Linked DNA regions of Daphnia pulex. The protein of the gene in region 1 interacts with the protein of each later gene in a pairwise test. Links are inferred from orthologs where the notes say so. Each region holds a gene or a part of one and is shown in the gene's direction. Other genes may lie near its edges.

Evidence for each region. The genes of interacting proteins can lie anywhere in the genome.
Region 2: the proteins of E3 ubiquitin-protein ligase NRDP1-like (region 1) and homer protein homolog 2-like interact in binary tests that used the Homo sapiens proteins (3 or more experiments, as listed by UniProt). The link is inferred for Daphnia pulex from reciprocal best matches to the Homo sapiens genes RNF41 and HOMER2.
Region 3: the proteins of E3 ubiquitin-protein ligase NRDP1-like (region 1) and iron-sulfur cluster assembly 2 homolog, mitochondrial-like interact in binary tests that used the Homo sapiens proteins (3 or more experiments, as listed by UniProt). The link is inferred for Daphnia pulex from reciprocal best matches to the Homo sapiens genes RNF41 and ISCA2.

The regions. Positions count from the first base shown.
Region 1 is NC_060021.1:11,013,236-11,021,362, forward strand, and holds E3 ubiquitin-protein ligase NRDP1-like, read left to right. Parts: upstream 1-3,637; 5' UTR 3,638-3,689; coding exon 3,690-3,779; intron 3,780-3,869; coding exon 3,870-4,012; intron 4,013-4,082; coding exon 4,083-4,239; intron 4,240-4,305; coding exon 4,306-4,593; intron 4,594-4,652; coding exon 4,653-4,928; 3' UTR 4,929-5,359; downstream 5,360-8,127. Other genes in the region: uncharacterized protein LOC124194673, read right to left, coding at 7,300-8,127. UniProt on the Homo sapiens protein: Acts as E3 ubiquitin-protein ligase and regulates the degradation of target proteins. Polyubiquitinates MYD88. Negatively regulates MYD88-dependent production of pro-inflammatory cytokines.
Region 2 is NC_060018.1:4,117,118-4,125,857, forward strand, and holds the start of homer protein homolog 2-like, read left to right. Parts: upstream 1-3,210; 5' UTR 3,211-3,386; coding exon 3,387-3,391; intron 3,392-8,080; coding exon 8,081-8,237; intron 8,238-8,740. Other genes in the region: uncharacterized protein LOC124189006, read left to right, coding at 1-73, 241-365, 528-898, 1,066-1,225, 1,514-2,014; vesicle transport through interaction with t-SNAREs homolog 1B-like, read left to right, coding at 2,292-2,515, 2,603-3,065. UniProt on the Homo sapiens protein: Postsynaptic density scaffolding protein. Binds and cross-links cytoplasmic regions of GRM1, GRM5, ITPR1, DNM3, RYR1, RYR2, SHANK1 and SHANK3.
Region 3 is NC_060017.1:2,840,351-2,847,530, reverse strand, and holds iron-sulfur cluster assembly 2 homolog, mitochondrial-like, read left to right. Parts: upstream 1-3,294; 5' UTR 3,295-3,349; coding exon 3,350-3,603; intron 3,604-3,662; coding exon 3,663-3,837; 3' UTR 3,838-3,950; downstream 3,951-7,180. Other genes in the region: dihydrolipoyllysine-residue succinyltransferase component of 2-oxoglutarate dehydrogenase complex, mitochondrial-like, read right to left, coding at 864-998, 1,086-1,337, 1,405-1,603, 1,665-1,834, 1,898-2,133, 2,200-2,361, 2,565-2,636, 2,700-2,823 and 1 more; RNA-binding protein 25-like, read right to left, coding at 3,958-4,053, 4,119-4,265, 4,331-4,476, 4,541-4,660, 4,731-5,043, 5,109-5,259, 5,329-5,495, 5,989-6,507 and 4 more. UniProt on the Homo sapiens protein: Involved in the maturation of mitochondrial 4Fe-4S proteins functioning late in the iron-sulfur cluster assembly pathway. May be involved in the binding of an intermediate of Fe/S cluster assembly.

The DNA.
Region 1 (8,127 bases):
CCATTAGAAAATTTAGGTGCATAACAGCCTAAGTTAGCTTTAAACTTGAGTTTATAGGTTACAACCAACTCAAGCATCTTGTTAGAACAGCAGTTTTAGAAATGAAATAATCAAATAAGCAGGCAGATTATACACACATAGTGATCATGTTGTATTATGCAATTGGAAAAGGAAACAGAATCAAACACAGATCATAAGTCTATCTATTGTTACTAATTTCTCCCATAATGACACTAATTTCCCAGTAACATTTTCGTCCATACTGCTGTATCGGAACTTTACAATAAACTTCGCTCCAAATCCAAAGACCTTCAAAACTGCGACAAACTGAATGACAAAAAAAAAGTTTTAGAATGATTTATAAAACATAAAGTAAATGTCTAAGCGTAGACATTCAGATTTTATACAGCCAATATTAATGGTTTCATTAAGGTCAAACGGTAACTCGTTTTCATCAGACTGGTAACAATTTAAAGTGATATGAACTCAAATTACCTTGTGCAAGTTTCATAGCTCCATACCATCCCACAGACGTTAAGCAACGGATCGAAAATTAACACACCTAAAATATGGAATAACGTTAGGAGAAAACTAATCTCTTTACACCAACATGTCTATCTACTATCAGGGACTCGAGTGGGTCTTCATAGTTATCAGAAACACAGGAAACATTTGTCATCACAAAATTTACAATGAAGGTTTGACATCAATCTCTCTATTACCTCAGGACTCCTTAAGCCGACACTATTAGATCCAGCGTCTCACCGCATATATCCCTATTAAAGAAAATCAAATGATAATATTGAAATTTATCCGGTTGCCCAACCCCTTGCTTTAAGAAAACAAAGCAAGAAAGGCCTCAGGGACTCGCTTTAATGTTGCAAACTGAACAAAAAGAAATCTGGTGTTCAGCAATTTCTTTACAAAATATCATTTGCCCAAGATCGCAATAATCGAACCATTCTTACCTCGACAACAGGGATTTATCAAGAAAACGTATATAAACAAAATCTCCAACAATCCAATAGACCGTAGTCAGACCTAGATATACCAAATTATTAAATTAGATAAGAAAAATTTAACCAACAAACAACACAACATACCCAATAACATGCTCGCCAAGTACTCCAAGACAACCGACCGAGCAACCTAAAAAGACGACAAAATAAAATCATCGTTAAGGTGCAGAAAGCAGTAGCTCAAATGCAGATTAAGATAAATAATCTATCAGGGACTCGAGTGAGTCTTCATATAATTGTCAGAAACACAGGAAACAATTGTTCATCATGATATTTACGTTTAATTCGTTAACATATTGAGCTATTACCTAATATCCTATGAAGATGGCGCCAAAAAAAAAAAACACCGAACAATAAACCAGTCCATCTGAACACACAAAAAACACAAGTTATTTTCATGAATTTGTCCGGTTGCCCAACCCCTTGCTTAAAAAAAAAACAAAGCAAGAAAGGCCTCAGGGACTCGCTTTAATGTTGCAAACAGGACAATAAGAAACCTGGCGTACAATTGTCTCCTTAAACAAACCTGTTTGCCGAGTCTCGCATTAAAAAAAATTTACCTTGTGTAAAATGAACTCCTCGGATTCCAATGACGTTGACCAAGAAGCAATACCACATTACCTACAGAAAAAAATAAATCTATAACATCAGTTTGTATCGCTGATATCGTCAACTCAGTTAAAGATCAAAAGGAAGGCAGAATGAATCATCATGGAACTCGGAAAATGCTTTTAAGCGTTCTCATCATTTCAATTTACGTTAAACATTACAAGTAATTCTCTCTACTCACTACGTAGATCATGAAATCACCAGCATCTCGAAACGAAAGAAAATGAAACTCCAGTTTTTGGCCCAGTAGCTCAACAATCGACGGCGGTTGTTAAACAAGACAATCTGAATAAACGAACCAAACAAATCGTCAATATTTGTTTACAGCCGATTAAATGATATTAAAAAGCCTGAATTATCAGGGACTCGAGTGGGTCTTCATGGTTGTCAGAAACACAGGAAACTGTTGTTCATCACAAAAATCCAAAAGAAACCATTAAAACTGTCCATTTACCTAAGAATCGCAAACACCTTCATGATTGTATCTCATCTAGTGTAATGCACACCCACTGCCTGCAAAAAAATAAAAATAAACACCATTAAAATGTTAAATCTTCCTGTAAAGTCAAAACAAATTGTCTCAAACCGAGGTGATCAACCTCTGCAATAAATACAGATCGAGCATAAGTGGTTAGACGTTTAATTTATGAGATCCTCTAGCACCGGAATACTACATGTGCGTTAAACCGGTGACTCTGAGGCTCAAATGCAAATGTAAAAATAACTATACCTCCTCCATTGGCTCCATAGCCGTAACAGTCGACATCCATCCTCCACGAAATGTCTTGGCATGGAATCTTCTCTGTAAAAACGATATAACGTTAAGGCGAGGACTAGACCAAAATGACGACAAGTCACTCGATACTTTCAGCACATTTAGTAATCAGGGTACATATTTAGGTGTCCTAAGAGTGTCATCAGCAAAATCCAACAGCATATTTTACATATATGATAAGAAAACCAACCTTTATTCCTCGATTACATTCAAATCAGCGAATTCTGGAAGATAGGTTACAACCAACCGGTGCAAAACCAAGTGAGGTCAGAAATCAATCTAGACATAATTGATCATGAAAATCTACAAACCATTTCAGTGTGATACTGCTTTGGTCTACACTTCAGAATATTGCGATAGAGATTTAATCAAAATATTAATTTAGGTACACTAAATTTCATTGTAATCCTAGGGTCATCAGGACTATTTACCCATATACAATAGGAATTCGTTTTTACCTTCCAAACTAGTCGTCTTCAAGGCACCAATGTAGCCTAAATGCATGATTTGTCTCACAGCCCTTCAAAAATTGTTTCCGATCCTTGCACTCATCTGCCATCATCCCTCCTGGCATTGAAGATATCAACCTAAAATGAACAGATTAAGAGATATAATCAAACCTGTTCCTACATGAGGCAAATTAACAACTTAAATTGACAAGTTAGTTACTAGACAAGAGGAAATTTCATTCGCCTCATGACCGTTACTGCAACATTGATTTCAGACTGAACATGGAATTTCACTTAAAACTACTTATTATCAAACTTGTCCATTTTAACCAAAGAAACCCCAGACCAACCTGAGGCTTCTTTCTCTATAATATACTTCTTAGAGAAAGTCGGTTTTATTAGACTTCAACCTTACCAAAGCAATACACATATAGATATTAAAAATGTTCAGGCTAATTACTGTGTTAAGAGCGTTAACCATATCCTACAACTACGTTTTCAAAACTTAAATGAGAAACTAAAAAATTAGAAAACCCAGAATAACCACGTGTTGATCAACTTACATGTTCAGCATTTGAAGGATTGGTTTGAAATGAAAAGAAGTGACGTTGGCACTTCCATATGTAAACTTCGTTCCCTAACCGTCAGACTGCGTTTTACGGTTTAATTTTTCTACCGCCCGATGGCTCTGCAACACCTTGTTGTTGCATTTATTTAGGTACGTCAATTCTGTTCCCCCTTTATTAAAAAAGAAAGAAACGCGAACTCTTACTGAGAAGCAGGTGTGTTTACTTAATTAGGTCAAAGTTTTCTTGGCCGTTTTGTTAACCAAGAAAAATGGGAATTGAAATAAATCGATTTCAAGGAGAAGTTGATGAAGAATTGTTGTGTCCAATTTGTAGTTCAGTGCTCGAAAATCCGTTACAGGTAATAATGACAGTTCGCTTCCAAAAGCGAGAGTAGCAATAAAATTTCCCCAGAGGGAATGTGATGGATTTAATAGACTTGTAATTTCAGGCACCCAACTGTGAGCATGCATTTTGCTCTGCTTGCATTCACGAGTGGCTCTCGAGACAGCCAACTTGTCCTGTCGACAGACAAAACATAACCCCTCCTCAGCTGAGACCTGTTCCCAGAATACTTCGGAACCTACTATACAGGTTGGTGGTTTGGAAGTTTGAAACCTTATTATCAGTATGAAATTGTACCATTTCTCTATTATTTTTCTAGACTACAGCTCACTTGTGATAACTCTGTTTATGGGTGCACTGCAATATTGAAACTAGATGCCCTGGAGTCTCATGTACAAGAATGTGAGTTCAATCCAAAGAGACCGGTGCCATGTGAGCTCGGCTGTGGGCTAGTTGTGCCAAAAGACGAGTTGAAAGTAAGTGGGTTGTTTTACAGGTTACAACTTTAAATAGTACCTTATTTATGTTGATTGCATTTCCAGGAACACAACTGCGTGCGAGAGCTGCGCTCGTTGATGCAGGCCCAGCAATCGAAACTAGTTGAGGTGCAGGCGGAAGTAGCCGAGGGCAAATTTCAGATGAGCGAACAGAAACGAGAACTGCAGCTGCTGAAGGACTACATGCTAGCCATGCGGAACGCCAATCCTTCGCTGCGGATTCTGGCAGATCAGATGGAAGCCGACGAAGTGAGACGCTGGGCCGAAACTCTACCCAAGGCGAGAGTCCTGCGCTGGGGTGGCATGATCTCGACTCCGGACACGGTGCTACAGGTAATATCCTACAGTTGGCGAGCTCAATACATTCAATCAAATACGATAACCTTTTAAAGTTGCAGGCAATGATCAAGAGAGCCCTTTCCGAATCGGGTTGCCCACCGCACATCATCCAGGATCTGATGGAAAACGCCCACGAACGGCGGTGGCCGACGGGATTGTCGTCGTTGGAAATCCGCCAGCTGAACCGGCGTCAATACGAGAACTATGTCTGCCGGAGGATTCCGGGCAAACAAGCCGTGGCCGTCATGGCCTGCGACAACGGACATATGAATCCAGATATGATATTGGAACCGGGTCTCATCATGATTTTTGCTCACGGTGTAGAGTGACACCCCGGAATTCTTGTCAGATTATTAATCCAACAACATGTTTGTCTTCAGTGTCCTCGCGACCGGCTGGACCACTCCAGCGAGCTGACACTAATGAATTTGTCCCTTTTGTCCTTTAGTTCAGAAGCAGCAGTCCTCTCAACTTACTTAAAAGAATCTGATTTATCTTTTTTCGAATTGTTTATCGTCATCAGTTACTTTCATTGAATCGTGCTCAGTTTGGGGGCTAGGTGTAGGTTTTTATTTGAAATGTTTCTCAATTGGTGTCCCCGCTCTTCGGCGGTTGTAAATGTTCGATACTTGATTAATGATGGCAAAAATCTTGTTTTCTTTCATCATCAACTTTTATGTGCAAATAATGATAGTATATTCCGCCGATGCTGCGGAATAATAAATAATAAAACAATAACTGAGAAGTCAATCGTATGGTATAGACAGTGTGTGTTTGTGTGTATTTTTTTTTTATCTTTTCGTCGATTATTTTTCTGTTATTATCTTTTTCAAACCGGGTTTACTTCTTCTCTCTTTTCAGTTATAATCACATCATCGTCACACATGTTATGTAACATTTTTGTTTTTTTCAAAGTGTGGAAATGGGTTGAGGGTTGGGGGTGGATTTTTTGGAGATGTAATCGCACTACATCACATAGCCATGCTCATCCGAGTATTTAATCACATCACTCAAAAACACTTCCTCTTTTTTAATGAAGTTGATTTTCTTTCTTTTTCGAAACTTTGTTTTCGTCTCCATTCGAATGGCGGAGGGGAAGGATCGGCGGGTAGTGAAACAACATGATACGGGAAGCTAAAGAGATGATTTCAAAACAAGTTATTCACAATTAAGGACAAAATCGATGAGCCAGAGAGAGATAGAGAGAGAGAGAGAGACGTAATAATAAAGTGGTTGGATCGAAATCAAACGTCAAAGAAAAACTACATTGTGTTTGTTGTGTCTGTGCGAACATGTATATACAATTCTTGTACTGAGCTTCTGGAATCTGAAACACACACACACGCATGGAAAATAAAAGACAAATGATTGGCTTTTGTTTCGACGTAATAGAATCGATAATATAATATATAAAATCTTCTGTATATCTATTTAGAGAGAGAGAGAGAGAAAATAAAAGATGGGGGGTGAATCAAACGGCAATTAAAGTTTGTAAGGGGGGTGAGCGAGTTTCAGAATGAAGGGAAAAAATGGGGGGTAACCGACGATCCCGAATCTGCTGACAATCGGATCTGATCTGTGAGGTCCGTTCGGTTTTGAACAAAAAAAAAAGAAAATCAAATAATCAAAAAAAGCCCACACTGCGCAACTGCAGCACACATTTGTTTGTTCTTCTCCTTGTCGCTTTAACCTCAATAATTCTTCGTCTCAAATTGGGCGGGGTCGGGAGAGGAAAGAAGCGCAGCAAGACGTCGTCGTCGCTCCATAATGACGGCCAGTGAGCTCAATCTCGCTCGCGCGAGCACGAACACGAGAGAGAGAGGGAGAGAAAGATAATGTGGGTAATCACGACACGACTTGTCCACAGACCCGCGCAACCAGCACACACGCTGGGAGGACAACAAAAACCAAAAGAAACGGGTTGAGGAGCAGGAGAAATGGTTGTTGTTGTTGTCGTCGGCTCTGTGGTGACAATTTTTGAACACAGTCTCAGGTAATTTATACATAGCATGATACAATCAGTCGATGGGACTCTTTTTTTTTTGTCTTTTTTTTCAATACATCCAACTCGCTAATTAGAGGTGGAAAATCAAAATACGTGTGGTGTGTGTGTACTCACTGCGTGAGTCTGTGCGGAGTGGAAACGAGGGAAGAAGGTCAAATAATCGAAATGGCGACATAATAAGACACGACCAGCGGATGGTGAGAGCAACAACAGTGGAGGTTATAAATGGAAAGACGAAGTCACACACACACACACAGAGAGAGATACTCAGGTCATCGAGTCAACGAATTGGAATGGAGCAAATTGGGAGAGTTGGTTGCTGTTGTCGATGGAGAAAACGGAAGCTCCACCGCAAGAAATTGCGGATGAATGCGCTTTCCTATTCAATCCTCCATTCGGAAGAGAATTAGGAAAACCAAATATGAAATCTTTTTCACGGAACAACAACATCATCGCCATCTTTCTTGCCTTTGTTTAGACACACAACCGCAATGTGAATTGGGAATTTAGCCATACGCAATCCATTCCGGATTCCCCCCACCCTCTCTATTGGTGGGAGGGGCCAAAAAGAAACGAGTAGAACAAACGAGATGTGTAGCAAAGACACACACATAAATAATAATTAAAAAAAAACACCCAATCAATGACAGATTATTAAAAACGGGGGGGGGATGTCATTCCGGAATTTTTCTTTTTTATCCGGAATCTTTGCACCGTGGATCGGAGACATGGCCCAAGTCCAAGTCTTCGCTGCGGGTGTGCGTCCTGAGGTGCCTGGTAATCATGTCGCGTCGGCAGGCGGCGTAGGAGCACTGCGGGCAGCGGTAGGGCTTCTCGCCCGTGTGCGTCCGCTGGTGGGTGCTGAGGTGATCGGAGCGTGAAAACACCTGGCCGCAGATGCGGCAAGTGTACGGCTTGAGACCCGTGTGCAGCCGCATGTGGCGAGTCAACATGTCGCTGCGGGCAAACGGCCGCTGACACACTTCGCACTGGTAGCCCTTGACGACCACGCCGGAATCGGCCGAGGGGACGGGTCCAGCTGCTGCTGCTGCTGCAGCCGACGATGAAATGGTTGGGGTCGTGGCGCCACTGGTGGTGCCACCGTTGAGCAGGGCTGAAGTCCTTTGCAGTTGGACGGGCAACTTGTGCCGCGACGTCAAATGTTTGACCAGCCGGTCGTGCTGGTCGAAAATCTGGCCGCAAATCTCACAGCCGAAGGCGGCCGGATGGGGGCCGCCCGGAAGCAAAAGCGGAGCGGCCATAGAGATGGGCGAAATGGCCTCGCTGTCGGCCGACAAGTCGACGGACGAGGAGGAATATTCGACGGCCGAGAGGTACTGCGACAGCGACAGGCTGCGCGTCAGAGCTTTGAGTCGCGACCCGCGCGATTTGCCCACACGCGAAGACGTCGCCGTCAGATGCGACGGATGCGACGGAGGCGGCGTCTCCAGTCCGCCGCACAGCGGAGAGGAGAAGGCCGACAACAACTCGGACGACGACACAGAGGCCGTGCTCGTGTTGGT
Region 2 (8,740 bases), on another chromosome or scaffold:
GTTAACCAGAAACGTTTTGCATTGTGCTCGGCCGTCGCTGCTTCGGGTATTCCGTCTTTGGTGATGTCCAAAGGTAAATATGAGCCAAGATCATCATTGCACGGTTCCATACTAGCATGATGAATATGTGTTTCCTGTGTTTCTGACAAGCATGAAGTCATACCATGAGTCCCTGATCCATACAATGATAGTAGTAAATAAGGTCATATTGAATTAGAACTAAAATGTTTTTACATTCAGGTCACTTGATCAATGATGTCCCGGAGATGCCTTTGGTTGTGTCGGACAAGGTTCAAGAATACAAAAAAACCAAACAGGCCGTCGTGTTGTTGCGCCGTCTTCGCGCATGGACTGATGTCCAGAAGGTTTGTTTCTAGATATTTATGTATAATTATCACGGGAAAATGATGAGTTGCTTCTTGGTCTGTGTTTATGAGTAAATGATTTCACCTTAGAGCTCTGAACAAAATCTGAGTCATGAATGATTTTATGTGTGAACACCGTCTAATTAATCTGATTTCTTACAGGTTTACAAGACCAGGCGTTTCCGCGCAGGTAAGGGTAAGATGCGCAACCGTCGCCGTACCAGCAAATTGGGTCCACTGGTCATCTATGGCAGAGATCAGGGTTTGACCAAGGCTTTCCGTAACATCCCCGGAGTTTCTATGATTTCAGTAAACAAACTGAACCTCATGAAGCTTGCTCCTGGTGGTCATGTTGGCCGTTTCTGCATCTGGACCGAGTCTGCTTTCCAACGCTTGAACGCCCTCTACGGTACTTGGCGTCAGAAGTCTAAGCTGAAGAGCAACTACAACTTGCCTCAGCCCATCATGACCGGAACAGATTTGTCTCGTTTGTTGAAGTCTGATGAAATCCAGAAGGTTATCAGACGACCAAGGCAAGCTTTCTTTTTAATCTTTATTATTGATTAATTAATGATGAAAACCACATTTAGAGCATTGGGTTATGAATCTTTGTGATTAGCAAATTAATCTGAACGCAGTTTATCATTCAAGTGATACTGTCTGGTGCAAAGATGACTAATCGATACAATTTAAATTACAGGAAGATGATCCGTCGTGCATCTGTTAAGCGCAATCCTCTTACCAACATGAGAGCATTGATGAAGTTGAACCCGTACTCCGCCGTGATTAAGAAGTCTGCCGCTGCTGTTGCTGAGGCCCGGAAGAAGAGCAAGACTGCTTTGCTCGAGAAGAAGCGCGAGGTAATTTTGTTTTCTGTGAATGTTTGTATGTCTTAGATAGTTTTTCGTTTGATTTCTGTTTGAATTGTTAAAATTGTATTACCGCATGTGAACGTAACTTAATGCATGCCACATTGTTTAACATGTACAGGCGAGTGCTACCAAGAAGGTAGCTGCCTAGCCTGCGAGTGAGCGCACACAGCATGGTTTATTGAGCTAATCAACAGATGTTTTTGGTGAGTTGTCCATCGTAGTGAGAATCTGATTTGGAAAATAGTCCAAGTTCTAATTTGTATATCCATTCTACAGTCAGTAGTACCCGTACCAAATTTACCTGTTGAAAAGCCGAAAGAAGAAGCGCCCGTTCAAGCACCGGTCCAAGATGTCAAACCAACTCAACCTCCTCCTGTTGAAACCCCTAAGCCAACACCACCAGAAACAAAGAAAAGCAAGAAATCCAAGACGGCTGCAAAGGATTTGCAAGTAGAACCGATGGATGTAACACCCGCGTCCGTTGTTGAGGTGAAGACTGCCCTAGCTCCAGCTAAGGAACCATCTCCGCCAATCGTTACCATCCCTGAACCTGTAGTTAAGGTGGTAACACCAGTCGCTACTCCTGTAAAAGGAAAATCGCCACCAGTCGTTCCTGCCCCAACACCGATTGCTGTCCCGGAAGTGAAGCCGTTGGAAAAGGTTCTTGCTGCTCCCGTTGAAGCTATCCCATTAGAAGAAGCTTCTGTTCCCGAATCAGCTGCTGATAAGGGATCGAAAGCCAAGAAAGCAAAGGGGAAGAAAAATAAGAAGGAATGAGTGACATCATTGAACCTGTGCCTGTATGACGTTTTTTCTGTGACATCTGAATAAACCTTCTGCAGGCTGAAATGTGTTTAATTTATCTTAATAATTAGCTATTAAATGTAAATGTCATGGAAATGCTAATTCTCGCCGTTTGTGGCGCTGTCTTCAATGTTTTGTCAGATGGTGTTTTATACGTCAAGTCTACAATACATTCCTTGTCTTCGTCCTGATAGCAAGGTATCGTATGTAGTGCTCAAATAGGTTCAGAATTGTGCTACAAGAAACAGAAATGAGCTCAGAGAAATTTGAAACTCTGGATGAAGATGTACAAGTTTTGTTCGAAATTCTGCAAAGAAAGTGTTCCGGTAAGCTAGAACAATGTTTTGGCGAAGAAAAAAAGCAAGTTATTGCCGATGTCGAAAGAGGACTAGATGAAGCTAAACAAGCAATATTTGAAATGGAAGCTGAAGCTAGAGCAGCTCCTGGCTCTTTTAGGATGGACATGATTGGCAGGTAAAAATGTGAATGTCTTAAGTTTACACAGCAAACAATACATGTAGTAAAATTTCAACTAATGTTTTTTTTATCATCCAACTTCAGAGTACGAAGACATCAGGACACCTGTTCCAAACTTGCTCTATTGATCAATTCTTCCAAGCAATCAGAAATGTCTCTGGCCTCATCAAGAGGAAAACTGTTGGAAAACCAATCCACTGCTGCATTTAGCCAAAACCGGGGCATTGATAATGCTCTTCAAACAACTGTTCGCCAAGGAACTGCAGTTCTGGAAAGAACATCACAGAGCCTCTACAGAACTACTCAGGTTGCTTTAGAAAGTGAAGAGATTGGCACTGGAGTTATTCAAGAATTAAGTCAACAAAGAGAAGTGCTTGTTCGTACAAGAGATAGATTGACTGAAACGGATGCAGAGCTGGGAAGAAGTAGAAGAATCCTTAAGTCAATGTCTCGTGTTGCTATGACTAATAAGCTTGTCCTAATTGTCATCATTCTGTTGGAGATATGCATTTTGACAGGTTTAGTTTATTATAAATTTTTTTCTTGAAATTATTGTCCTCAAATTCTTAACATACCTCATCAAAAATGTAACTAATAGTGTTAGTGCCTTGAATTTGTGTAAAAGCCGATACAAAAATATAATCATGCGCATAGCGACCAGTATTTTTTTCCCCTTGCGTGCGCAAAGGATTTCCTAGCGGCCTTCGTACGCAGACGGAGTTACGAACCCAACCTCTGGCTTTCAGTTCCATTTGACAGAAGCTCTTCCTGTGTCATGGCGTGCTATACGTGTATTTAAAGTTTTTGCGTTTGCCAACGAAATCTGAGATTTTTCTAAGTTGTTCGTGCTTCGACATCGACAGTTAAAATGGGGTAAGTTGTGCATTTATTGATTCTGTATAGTCTTAAATGAAAAATCGATTCGTACCATATATCCACGTAGCAACAGCTGGATGCTGAGCACCACTGTCAAGTCTGAATTCAAATTTACTGTAATTAAAAGGGTATATGTTTCAAATATTTGTATTTTGGACTATGGAATTAGACAAATAAGAATTTTCCATTAGGGTGTATAAATACCATTAAGCTAAAGTGTAAATCAATATTGAAGTCACAGACTCACTGAAGTGTCCCGTCATTCAAATGTTAAAAAAGATTTTATTAATATCTTGGCTGTAAATATAGCATTCATATTTTCAAACTAATAAGCTAAGCTGCATCCAAGTTTTCAACCTGTACTAAATTCTAAAGTTGTATTGAGCTAAACTTCGAAGCTGAATGACTTGTGCCTCTAGCTACAGCCCAGAAGGATTGTTGCGAAATGTTATTCTCAACTCAAGCAATAGATTGTTGCTTTAGGTGATACATCAAAGTAATATTTCATCCAGCCAGAAAACTCTTGATATTGCTAGGATGCTAGGCCCACTGTTAGTGGGATTTTAGTCACACAATATTGATTTACTTTGAAACATGCAAGCCCCATTCAGACAATTCCAAAAGCACAAACATTCAACAATGATAATGGGAAATAGAAATTTGTGGACTTTGTGTATTCAGTTGTAAGAAATCGATGCTGCGTGTCCTGTGTCTAATTCCTAGATGGCTACTTCGAACCCTTTCCCTTATTTTTCATGGTATTTATTAGTTAATGCTATTCTCGTCATGTTAACTTTCATCCGTACCTACAGTATTCTCCTTTTTTTTCGTTTGCTCACTACAACGTAAGATATCGCGTGTCGAGTTTCATTTCATTTCACTGCTTCTTTTGGAGGCTTCTATCGCCGGCGTCTCCTAGGTTGGACGCTAGATATAAACCCGTCTGAGAAGCCCCACCTTTACTTTAAAATAAAGTAAAAATTAATTTAAAAAAAGGCAGGGGAAAAAAAAATAACTAAAATCATCCTTCGGATAACAATCGGTTGAAAACAGGCTCATCTCATCAAAAATGAATGGCATCAAAGTATATTTATTCAATCTTCCATAAGAGTTGGTTTGCGAGGGGATGGGGGTATTTGTTTATTTCCGTTTTTGTGTATGTGTGTGTGTTTGCAATGGGGAAAAAAAATCGCTTGTATACTTGCCCGTGTTTACGTGTGCGTGCCAGAGTCGCAATGACGGGATTGCTAGATCTAGCCGGAAACTTTTAATGTTTCATTTCCTTTTTTCTTTCTGTAACTTGGCATCCTCCTCGGTTGTGGCACACTCCATCACCATTTAGCACGCGTGACTGTGCATGCCGTATCGACAAATCTGTCGATTCGGCAATTTCGTTTCGACACTCTTTTCGTGACTGAATAACCCGTACACTTATCATTGAACTCTAATCGCCCGAATTTGTGTGAGGATTTCGACCCGGAGACTATCCCATTGGAACTTTATTTTTTCAATCTGTTCCGCAGTCGGGAACTAGTTGAATTCGTAAAAACTGTGGCTTAAGTTCAATATTCTTTCAGCTTGCTCAAATATTTAAGGCGTAGGAAGCGGTTGCCGAGGTTTAGGGGGGGGGGGGGATTGCATCTTGGTTGTGCGCCTGTGTCAGGGCCAAGAAAGCAGTTCCCGGATATGATGCCATGTCGTGTCTGTCTCTTTTGGAGAGGGCGAGCTATTTGCAAGGCGCCAGTGAAAAGATGGAATCACGTCGACAACCCTTGTCTAATCTTAAGGATGAATCTCGATGATACCTCAATCAGACGTGTCTCTTTAAGCCTTTAGGTCCTCGCCATTCGATCTATAGTTCCCGAAATCTTATTGTTAATCCTAAGATTTTATGAGGTTGCCATGGATGGCTAATGAGTGCCTGCCATGATTGGGCTGCGTTCACCAAGGCGACGTTCTCTCCGTGTTTCTTCTCTCGCTGACTCTCTCGGGATTTTCGAGCGGCTAATGACTTTATTACTCAGTGCTCTATTTATCCTCACAAGTCACCTAGTAATATTTACAGATATCCTACATGAACTAGAGCTATAGAAGCTCAACATTACCAAACAGAAGAAAAAGTTGTTTTAGTTCAACGAATTTTCCTTGGTTATTTGCACGATCTCCTGTTCTTTTTTTCTTTTTTACTCTATTGTGTTCTGTGAACTGTAAACCCATTACATGAATGGATAGGTAATGGTGTCTTGATCGTTCAACTGGAATTCGGCTTCTTTGATCCTATCTACTCGATTGCGATCAGGCTCAATCCTGTTAGACTTCATCTCGTATCGATGGATCTCGCACCCAATGGTCTATCGAACAATCGCCGTCGTATGGATTCGATAACACACCGAGGAACTCCTCCTGGAAGTCAGACCAACAGCTGCTGCATACTTCCCCTGACAAGAGTGTATTGAACACGGTCGAAACTAAGCCCCAAAAGATAGGAAAGTAGAAAGCCAGATTGATGTCCACAGTTGGTCTCGATGACGTTTGAATCTGCGAGTTACACAGAGAGAAAATAGTGAGGGACTGGCGGGAAACAAGAAATCGTATTAGGTCCCAATCCGATTTATATTGTATACGTTGAGCCTGTCGTCCTAGCCCCTTGAAGGAATGACGACACTTTTTTTATTATTATTATTATAACGGATAACGTTGAATTTTTCTTTCTTCGCTTCTATTTCGTCTAGCGTCATTTTACATTGTGGACAGACAGCCGGGGAGTCGAATGGCGTCGTTCTTGTATTTGTTCGTTGCCATGTCGTGCGACTACCTCTTTTATATTCCGGCAATGTCAGCTACGAGATTTTTATTTTGTCGCCTTCAGAATTCATTGCCCCCCGCTGTTATTATGTACGCCATATTGCCTCTGCAGGATGTGTCATTTTCAGTGAATATTTATCGCGCTCATATAAGTATGTTATATAGACTAGTATCCAGTTTGCGTCTACCGTCCCAGCCTATATTGAAGTGTATCTCTCCCACTCTAATCCCTGTGTGTGTGAATAGAATTTCTCTGGATAGGTAGAATGGATCAAAACCAGCAACAGCAAGGTTGTTTTGTTGGTTTCTCTAGCTTCCTTTTCGTGTCGAGAGGTATTGATTCGTTGCTTCTCTCTCTCTCTCTCTATCTCTATCTCACTTTTGGTCGGTTGGAACTGTTTGCCCAGAGAACAGAGCTCAGGGAGAACGGTGGGTAAGCAGGAGGAGGGGTTGGCTGATTATGGCCCCCCACTCCCAACCGCACGTCATAATCAAGGCGCCAAAAGTGATTGAGTTGTGTGGCCCTTCATCACACACACACGATGCGTACGAATCGTTTTGCTTTAATCACAAGTTTGTCTGGGTGTATAGTAGTCGTGGTGGTCACAGTTTACTTTTTTCCTTATCCCATCGCGCCACGCCTCTACTCGTCGAATGCATTCCACCTCACCCCTAATGAGTTTGAAACTGTTACATTTGGTAGTGGCTGGCTTGTAAGTGCGTCGGATCCATCCCGTTTCCGCCCGTTTCACGAATTCAAATTATCAGCGTTCGTGTTATCTTACTGGGATGGCTCATTATCTCTCCCTCCGTGGGTTCCGCATTAATTGACTTTTTTCTCCCCCCGCATATTGCCCGAAATGCCATGATAGAAATTGTGTACGTGACATTTCCGAAGAAATCTCGTGACGCTCTGCATTTTTAACGCTTGGAATGTTGGGGTTTTTGTGAGCTGTTCGCCGTTTAGTCTGCCGGCTTACTTGAAGAAAAGTTGCTTCAAACAATATTTTACGTGATTTTACGAAGCCCTGGCCTTTATCCGCCCGACCTGATCGTCGTTGCAAGAGCGGGCAACTGAGCTGGACAAGAATGTTGGTTCTGAATCCTTATACGCGTATACTTTTTGCTCCTCGTTCATTTATTTATGTGGGCCTGCGCCATCGCTGGAATGCATTCCGTTGCGAAGAGTGCGCCATATTGATTCTAGCGTAAACAATAATGAGTTCTTTGACGCCCTGAAGTTTCCATGCGGCTCGTTAATTTTATCCAGTTGGACTTGGCTCAAAGACTAGGCCGCCAGCCAGCCCAATTGTAATCCAATAGAGAAATGACATATCGATCCGCTCGGCGCACCCTCTCTCTCTCGCGCGCGCTACGTTTTCTTCCCAACTGTTTCTATTCAGTGACGCTGGAAGGTCCTTTCGTGATATCAAGTTATTTGCGGCCTGCTCCAGTGTACGCAGTCTGTATGGCCCCCGATCCTTCTCCGTTCTAACCAACAGCAGCCCAACGACCCCGTCCATCTTGGGACTTTGTCGTGCTGAAATGGGGCGAACGTGCCCGCATGTGCGCACGGTGGTTAGATAGCTTGAGCAGAAAAAGAAGAAGAAGAGGAGAAAGAAAGAGTGAACATCTGCCCGCATTTTTTGTCCCTTTCTGTACTCCCTTTCTCTGGCACTATATTCCTTTTGTGTACGCTCAAAAATCGATATAATCCTATTTGCTTTTACCCTCTCGAATTGATCATTTTCGCCTTAGACTTTAAGAGACTTGCCACAGAATAAAGAAAGCGTACCCTAGAGAATCGAGCCGAATGTCTTGTTTATAGTAGTTTGCAAATCCAATTTCTTTAGCTTAATCGTTTCTTTTGCTGTCCGTTAGGGAACAGCCAATTTTCACGTGCAAGGCTCACGTGTTCCACATCGACCCGAAGACGAAACGTTCGTGGATCCCGGCCTCGTCGTCCGCCATCAACGTCTCCTTTTTCTACGACTCGACACGATCCCTGTACCGAATCATCAGCGTCGAAGGCACTAAAGTAAGCAACACTCTTCTCCATTCAAGATTCAAAGTTTCTTTTTCTCCACTTTTTCAAATGCCATGCTCACCTGTCTTTAACGTGAACCGGCTGGTAATAAATACTCAAAAGGGCAATGCTTCTTCTGCTGCCCTACGGAGAAAAAAGCCAAGCACAAGTTGTTGAACGTCAACAAGTTGGCGCCGTCGTCCTACCGGCGTTCAGGCTTAGAGTGCCTTTCCTTGTTCCCGATTCTTTTCGACACGACTTAGTATGTCGATCCCTTTTTTGTTTGTTTTTTTATTCTTTCTCCCTCTTCATCTTTCAGGGTTTTGTGTCTATTGATTTTGCGTCATCTCTGGTGCCCTAGAAAAGTTGGGCCGTTTTTTTCTTTCTTTCTTCCCCATTTTCAGCTGCGGGTTAGATGGATGGATGCATCACGGTTTGAAGAACACGGTTTGAGCTGTTAATGGGAACTGAAAGGGTTTACGGATCGATTGTCAGCCGACTCTTAAATGGCTCAG
Region 3 (7,180 bases), on another chromosome or scaffold:
TTTTTTCCTTTATACAACTCTCAAAAGACCCAAAAGTTTTTCCCGACATTTTTTTCCCCTTTCGTCGTCAGAAAAGCCAGGCAAGATTATTACATACTTTAGAGAAAAAAAAAGAAGAGCGCCACACTGAAAGTTCTTGGCACTGATGGATAGTTCAGGAGTTAGGAATATGGTAGCTATTGCGCAATATTAAACGTATGTAATACATGCCGGACTTGATGATGTCACGAACGTATAAGCGTCTGAATACTTTATAAGTTCCTTGCTTCCTTTGCCAACTGCTCTTCCCTAGAAACCACCATCGCAACGAAATATCAACGTTCTCGTGACCAATACAAGCGATCAATGATCATTCTAAATCAAACTGACTGATAATAACTTCCAAGCAAGAGAAATCGAATGCAACCGCCAATCCGCTAATTCTAGGATGCATTAATATTTCAAGTTTCTAAGAATCGTCAGAAATGGTTAAGTTGTCTTTAATCCTTACTAAAAGGATCAGGAGCACACGGATTTTGTGATGATTCAAACAGAAATAGTGTATTTTCATACGTGATTCGTCTTTCACTGCCACCTAGGGGTAGAAAACGAAATAAAGAAGATTTTCATACGTGATTCGTCTTTCACTGCCACCTAGGGGTAGAAAACGAAATAAAGAAGAATAAAGAAAAAAGACCGAAAACAGACGAACGCAGTTCAGTGTGTTTAAGGGAACACTCGATTCTTTTTATTTTTTTATTATTATTTATAACTCTCATGTTTCCTTCTAGATTCGTAGAATGCAACTGAATCGGGAACTTTAAACTAGTGCTTCCTATAAATGATTCGCAATATATAAAGTCCCTTTCTATGAAAAGCTTATCTTAGATTGATAAGAGCAGAGTACGGGGGTCTTCGATTGTCTGCTTGATTTTGCGCAAGAAAGTCACAGCTTCCCTGCCGTCGATAAGCCGATGGTCGTAAGTCAAAGCTACGAACATCATGGGACGAATAACCACCTAAAGAAATCAATTTAAATATAATAACAACTCGTGATTGATATCTGTTTTGATGAGTCGTTAGTTATTAATTTTAGTCTATCGTACCTGGCCATTGCGTGCGACGGGACGATCAAAAATTCCATGCATGCCCAAAATAGCAGATTGCGGAGGGTTGATGATTGGGGTACCGAATAATGAGCCGAAGACTCCACCGTTGGAGATGGTAAAAGTACCTCCATCCATATCTTCTACAGCCAATGCGTTGTTCTTTGCCTTCTCACCCATTGCGGCAATAGCCTTTTCAATGTCAGCATAGTTCATAGAATCTAGATTACGTAGAACAGGCACCACCAAACCCTTCAAATTTAAAACAAAAAAATTTATTAATAATTTAACTCTTAATGCTAAACTGTAGCAGAATTACTTTTGGTGTGGCAACCGCCACAGATATGTCGATGTAATCGCGATAGACGATTTCATTTCCGTCGATGACGGCATTGACAGTAGGTTGATCAGCAAGGGCGCAAGCCGCGGCCTTGACGAAAGCTGACATGAAACCCAACTTGATTTTGTGAACTTTCAAGAAGGCGTCACCGTGTGTTTTTCTCAGCTCCATGATGTTGCTGTGAATTTAAACGAAATACGTTAATCCACCTATGGCATCAAGAGACAATGGCATACTACCTCATATCAATTTCGTTAAAAGTTGTCAACATAGCGTTGACATTTTGGGCTTCCTTCAGCCGCTGAGCAATACGCAGTCGCATGCGGTTCATTTTAACGCGTTGTTCGGTTCTTGTGCCAGTAATTTCCTTGCTATAATCTGCAGGTGGAAGACGGGCTAGGGGAACAGCCTAGAGATAAGAAAAAATTAAGAAAAAGGTTAAAATGATGGGGGAATGACATTTAATTCGTACTTGGGACGTCTGCGTAACGTTAACAGGAGCAGCAACCCGAGGTTGGATGCTTGCTGCTGGGATGGCAGAAATAGGGGTTGTTGGAGGGGATGGGCGAGGAGGAGGTGTTGATGGGATCGCACCAGAAACAGGTTGGGCGGCAGGGGTAGGCGGTGGAGGAGCAGGAGCAGCTGGTGAAGGTGTTGGAGGAGCAGCAGCAGCAGCAGCAGCGGGAGCAGCAGCTTTGGCAGCACCTCCTAGATTAAGAAACGGTTTAAATTTATTTTAAAAATGTAGAAATTTTCTGGTAGCATAATAGTTACCTGCACTCATAATAAAGAGTTTAGCTCCGGGTTGAACAGTAGCACCATCACTAACGCACAACTCAGTAATGACCCCACTGCAAGGGGCTTTAACCGGGATCGATGTTTTGTCCGTTTCAATATGGCATACTTCTTCATCTTCTTGGACTGTATCACCAACAGCTAAAGAAAACAAAAACATTCTATGAAAAACACCATAAGATCCACAGGTGCAAGTCTATCAAGTTGAAAAAAAAGGACGCAAAATGATTTGAAATCTTTGACTTGAAAATACTGAAATTAAGCTTCAAGATTGACATTTTCACTCAAAGATCATTTCTGTGCTACTAATACAGTTGTACCAATACTCTCTGGAAGAAGCATACCTTTATCCCATCTTACATCACCCTCACTGATGGAGTCTGCAAATGGTGGTACCATCACAGTTTTCGCATCTCCTAAAAAAAGTATTTTTTTATTATTATGACTATTTATTGCCATTTGGAACTAGTGAATTTCACCTAGTACTGCAGAAGTTCTGAATCCTCGACTGAAAACTGTGATTGGATTCCATTGGCACCTCACATCATTTCGCTGTTGGATGGACAGGTAGCTAGGCTCTTGAATACCAATTTCACATGTTTCCTGAGATAAAAAACAAATAAGAAGAAATATCATTAAATTAATTGTAAGATGAAAGTAACCAACAGGATGTGGCAAAATCATCCAAGGTACAAGGAACTTCATTGACACATTTTTATTTTATTATTTACTCTTATATAAACATGTATAACCTGATGTTTGAAACAAGCCGAAACTCTGAAATTGCCACGAAATACTTTTGCAATTTGCTTCGAAGAGCCTAGGGAGAGACGTAGAGCAGCCATGATTTTTCTGTTCGACTTCGGCTGATCTTGATGTTAGTTGCGAATGAAATTTGACTTTGCTGGTTAACTTTAAAAACAATATAAAAACTCTCCTTCAAAATTTTAAATTAAAATTTTAGAATTAAAAACGTTATTTTATCTTCGTGTATGAATAAACCGGGAATTAAGAATTTTATGACGAGTTTTTCAAAATAAAAGTAAAATGCAACTGTGGTTGTGCTTTTTTTCGTCTGAATTCGTTTCGTTTTCGTATTGTTACGTGATATTTCTGCTAAACAATAACAATGTTTTATGCGGCATTAGTAAACCGGTTAACCAGATTCCCATCACATATTTCGGCATTCTCATCTTTAAACAATGCTGTTCAAATGGATACCGTACAAGGATCTATAAAGATGACGGATAAGTGCGTCCAACGATTGAAGGAACTGCATAAAAAATCCCCAGAGAAAACGCTTCGGATATCGGTAGAAGGAGGAGGATGTTCGGGATTTCAGTACTTGTTTAATTTGGACACCACGGCAAATGAAGATGACTGGTTTGTACTTAAAAACTAAACTAAATCAACATAATTTTTGACAGTTTTCATTAAAACAGTGTGGTTGAAAGAGATGGTGCGAGAGTCTTTATTGACAAAGATTCCATGCAATACCTTGAAGGAGCAACAATTGATTTCCAGTCTGAGTTGATCCGCTCTGCCTTCCACATATTGAAGAACCCCAAAGCTGAAAGTGGTTGTTCATGTGGTGCTTCATTTTCTCTCAAAGTTTGATTTAAAAATCTATTCAAAGCAGTGTTTTTGTCAAATTGCTGTGTAATTAGTTGTACATAATATGGGGTGAATGTAACAACAACCAATTGCAAAATAGAGACCCAATGCAATCACCCCTTTTCACTTAGTCATGAGACCCAATTTCTTTGCTTCTAATTCATAGATCAATAAGCGCCACATCTTGACAACAAAGACCTCTGCTTCTTCATCAAGTACCTAATAAAAATAAAATTGTTAAAATAGGAATTACATTTTAGAATTTATAGAAATTAAGACCTTACCATCTGAACATCATTGATGATATTTTGTGGTTGGCTTCCTATCAATACTTTGGAACAAATGAATTCAACTAGAGTAGGCTCGGGCTCTCCGATGTACTCCACGATCTTTTTATTGACCCACGGTTTAATCCGCCGCTCCATTATCACCTATGGAGAAAATAAAACAAGAATTTAAGTGGTTATTCGACAACGCGTACTTGTTCATTGTTTACATTGTCCACTAAGCTCCACTCAACAGGATGAGCAAAGAGGGATGCTTTATCCGTTGGAATTTTCTCGATAAGACTCTTGATATTTTTTCTCTTCTCCTCTGTGTTCTTGGGCTCTTTTTCCTTTTTAGCAAGTTCATCGCCATAGTCTATTGGAAAAGAAATTAATTAAAACAGAAATGTTACGGAAAAGAAAATATCTGATTATGTTACCAAGAGGTACAAGTTTCCGTTTCTTCTTGGTCGTGTCTGTATCGTCTTCATCAGCATTGAAAACGGCTTTGATTTCCAGCTTTTTCCGCTTATTGAATACTAAACTGGGTCCCTGTGATCCTGTAATACAGAAAGAGAAACAATTAGTTATACATATGTTGGTTGGGCAATCGATGGCCAATTATCGTACCTTGTTTGCTGTCACTTTCAGTTGGAAGAGGACTTAAGGAATTCGTTGTTGACATGGAATCCTCTTCCATGGCAATGACACTGCTCGCAACACTAGAGCTAATTGTTTTAGGTTCTGGTCCGGTTGGAGTGGATGGAGCTGATGAGACGGGCGTGGTGGAATTGACATCTTTCGTCAACTGGAAATCTTCCACGTCCGATGGTTGTGATGGTAGAGACACGTCCATGGGAGAGAAAGAGCGGGGAGCATCACTAACAGGAGGTGCTGGCACGAGTATCTGAGGCTTGTACTGTTGTTCCCTTTCGTAAAGAGCCTAGGAAAATTCAGAAGAGGTTTTACATCATACATTCGTGAAACTTTGAGCTTTCCCTCTCTTACCTGTTTAAGAGTTGCTGTTGGATCTGAGTGGCCCTCAGAGAAAATTTTCGTCTTGAGTTCCTCGAGCTCTTCCTTCTCCTTTTGACGGTCACGTGTGTCTGATTCCGTTTCTCTCTCACGCTCTGTTCGCCGGCGCTCCATTTCACGGCCTCTGCGCAATTCCAAGAAAGAAACATTAGGCTGATTCAATAAAGAAAATGAGATGGAGGACAAAATTTACTTATAGTATTTTGCATCATCTCTTTCGTCGTCATAGTCTTCAAGGAACTGTTTGAGCCAAACGGCTTGTTTCTGTTGTTCTTCAATCCTTTCCTTTTCCTTGAGCTCGAGTTTGTCGTAATCACGGAGCTTCTTCCGTTCTCGGCTCTCCCAGTGACGCAACCGTTCCTGTTGAATCCACCCAAAAGGAAATGATAAAAAAACAAAAACCAGCCACAAGAGAAATCAATTCCAACTTGGCATTATCACTGGAAATCCTTAAATCAAGAACGGAGGGACCTCACAACTATTGCCTCTTCTTATACTTTACGGTCACGGCACACGAGATCACAAGATAGAAAACAGGAAGGCAAAAAGAGCGCAATGGATTGATTAAACCGAGTTTTTTTTGTCCAGTCTGGGTACTTGCGTGAGTAAAGAAACGCACGACAGCATAGCATCCCAAACGGTGAACAAGAAAAGGTTACGATGGTCATTCCAGACTAATCCACTCCAATGGAAACTATCAAAGTTATGATCAACGTATTCCCAGCCCTCTTTTTGTTGTTGTTATGCTGTTCTGGGCAATACACACGCGTCACGGCAGGTCGGGATCGATAGTGCAGACCAATCCGCTAAGGACCACTTGGACGACCGCCAAATGCAAGGTGAAATCTTTTACCTGATAAGCAACTTCTTTTTCTCGTGCCTTCTTCTCTGCTTTCTTCCTCTCCAGAGCTTCTTCTTCTTCTTCCTTCTCCCTTAAATAATCTTTTTCTGTTCGACGTGGCGGGCGAGCCTCCACTTCGGTTCGGTCTCGAGATCTACTTCTTCGGGGCGGTGTGCTTGGCTGAGCCGGTGGTCCAGGTGGGGTGCGTGATCTTTGCGGTGGAGTTCGTGACCGCCGATGATTTTCGTTCTCCTTATCACGTCTCCTGTCTCGGTCGCGATTCCTGTCTCGATCCGAAATTCTGTCTCGGTCGCGATCATTTCTATCATTACCACCGCGGTCCCTACCACTTGGTCTATCACGTTCTCTGTCCCTTTCCCTGTCTCGCCGCTCGCGATCACGCTCTTTTTCTTTCCTTTTCTTACGCTCAGCTTCCTTTTCTTCATCTTGCTTTTTGGCGATTTCGCGAAATTTTCCTATTTCACGGGTAATCAAGTCCTTTTTTCCTTCTTCAATTTCAGTTTCGAATTTCTGTGAAACAAAGCAATTAGTCGAATCAGCAGCACGTAGTAAAACAAAAACAAAAAAGGCTAAATAAAGATGTTTACGTTCAAATCCAAACTATTGGCTTCTTCCTTTTTGGCCGCTCTAGCTTTTTCCTTATCTTGTTCTCTTCTTTCTTTTTCTTCGGCTGCAATGGAGTTGGAAAGAATCAATGAATTATAATATAAAGTCGATTAAACTGCGTCAACGGACGGACTGCGGTACCTCTGGCTTGATTAGCTTGCATTTCCGATTCGTAGTCCTTGAGAGTCTGACCGATTCGTTCCTTAACCCATTTGTCTTGAACTCGTTGTTCCTGTGTAAGGAATTCGTCATCGCCATTGGTCGATCCTCCACCAGCAGCTTTGATTTTGTCAGCTATGGAAAAGAACACGAAGAGTCAACTACCGGTTAAATTTCGATAATTGTTTTTATTTACCTTTGTAAGTGTCAAGAATTAATTTCGTTTTGGCATCGACTTTCACCACCAACTTCTTTTCACCAATTTCCAGTTCGTGCAGCAAGCGAATCGCTCTTAGAGCTGGGTCTGGATTGCTGAATTCACAGAAACCGAAGGCTGCAATAGAATAACGAATTTCAGTTTAGAGATCCAGTACTTCTTGAAACTATTTGTAAGACTTTCTGTACCTTGAAGAACACC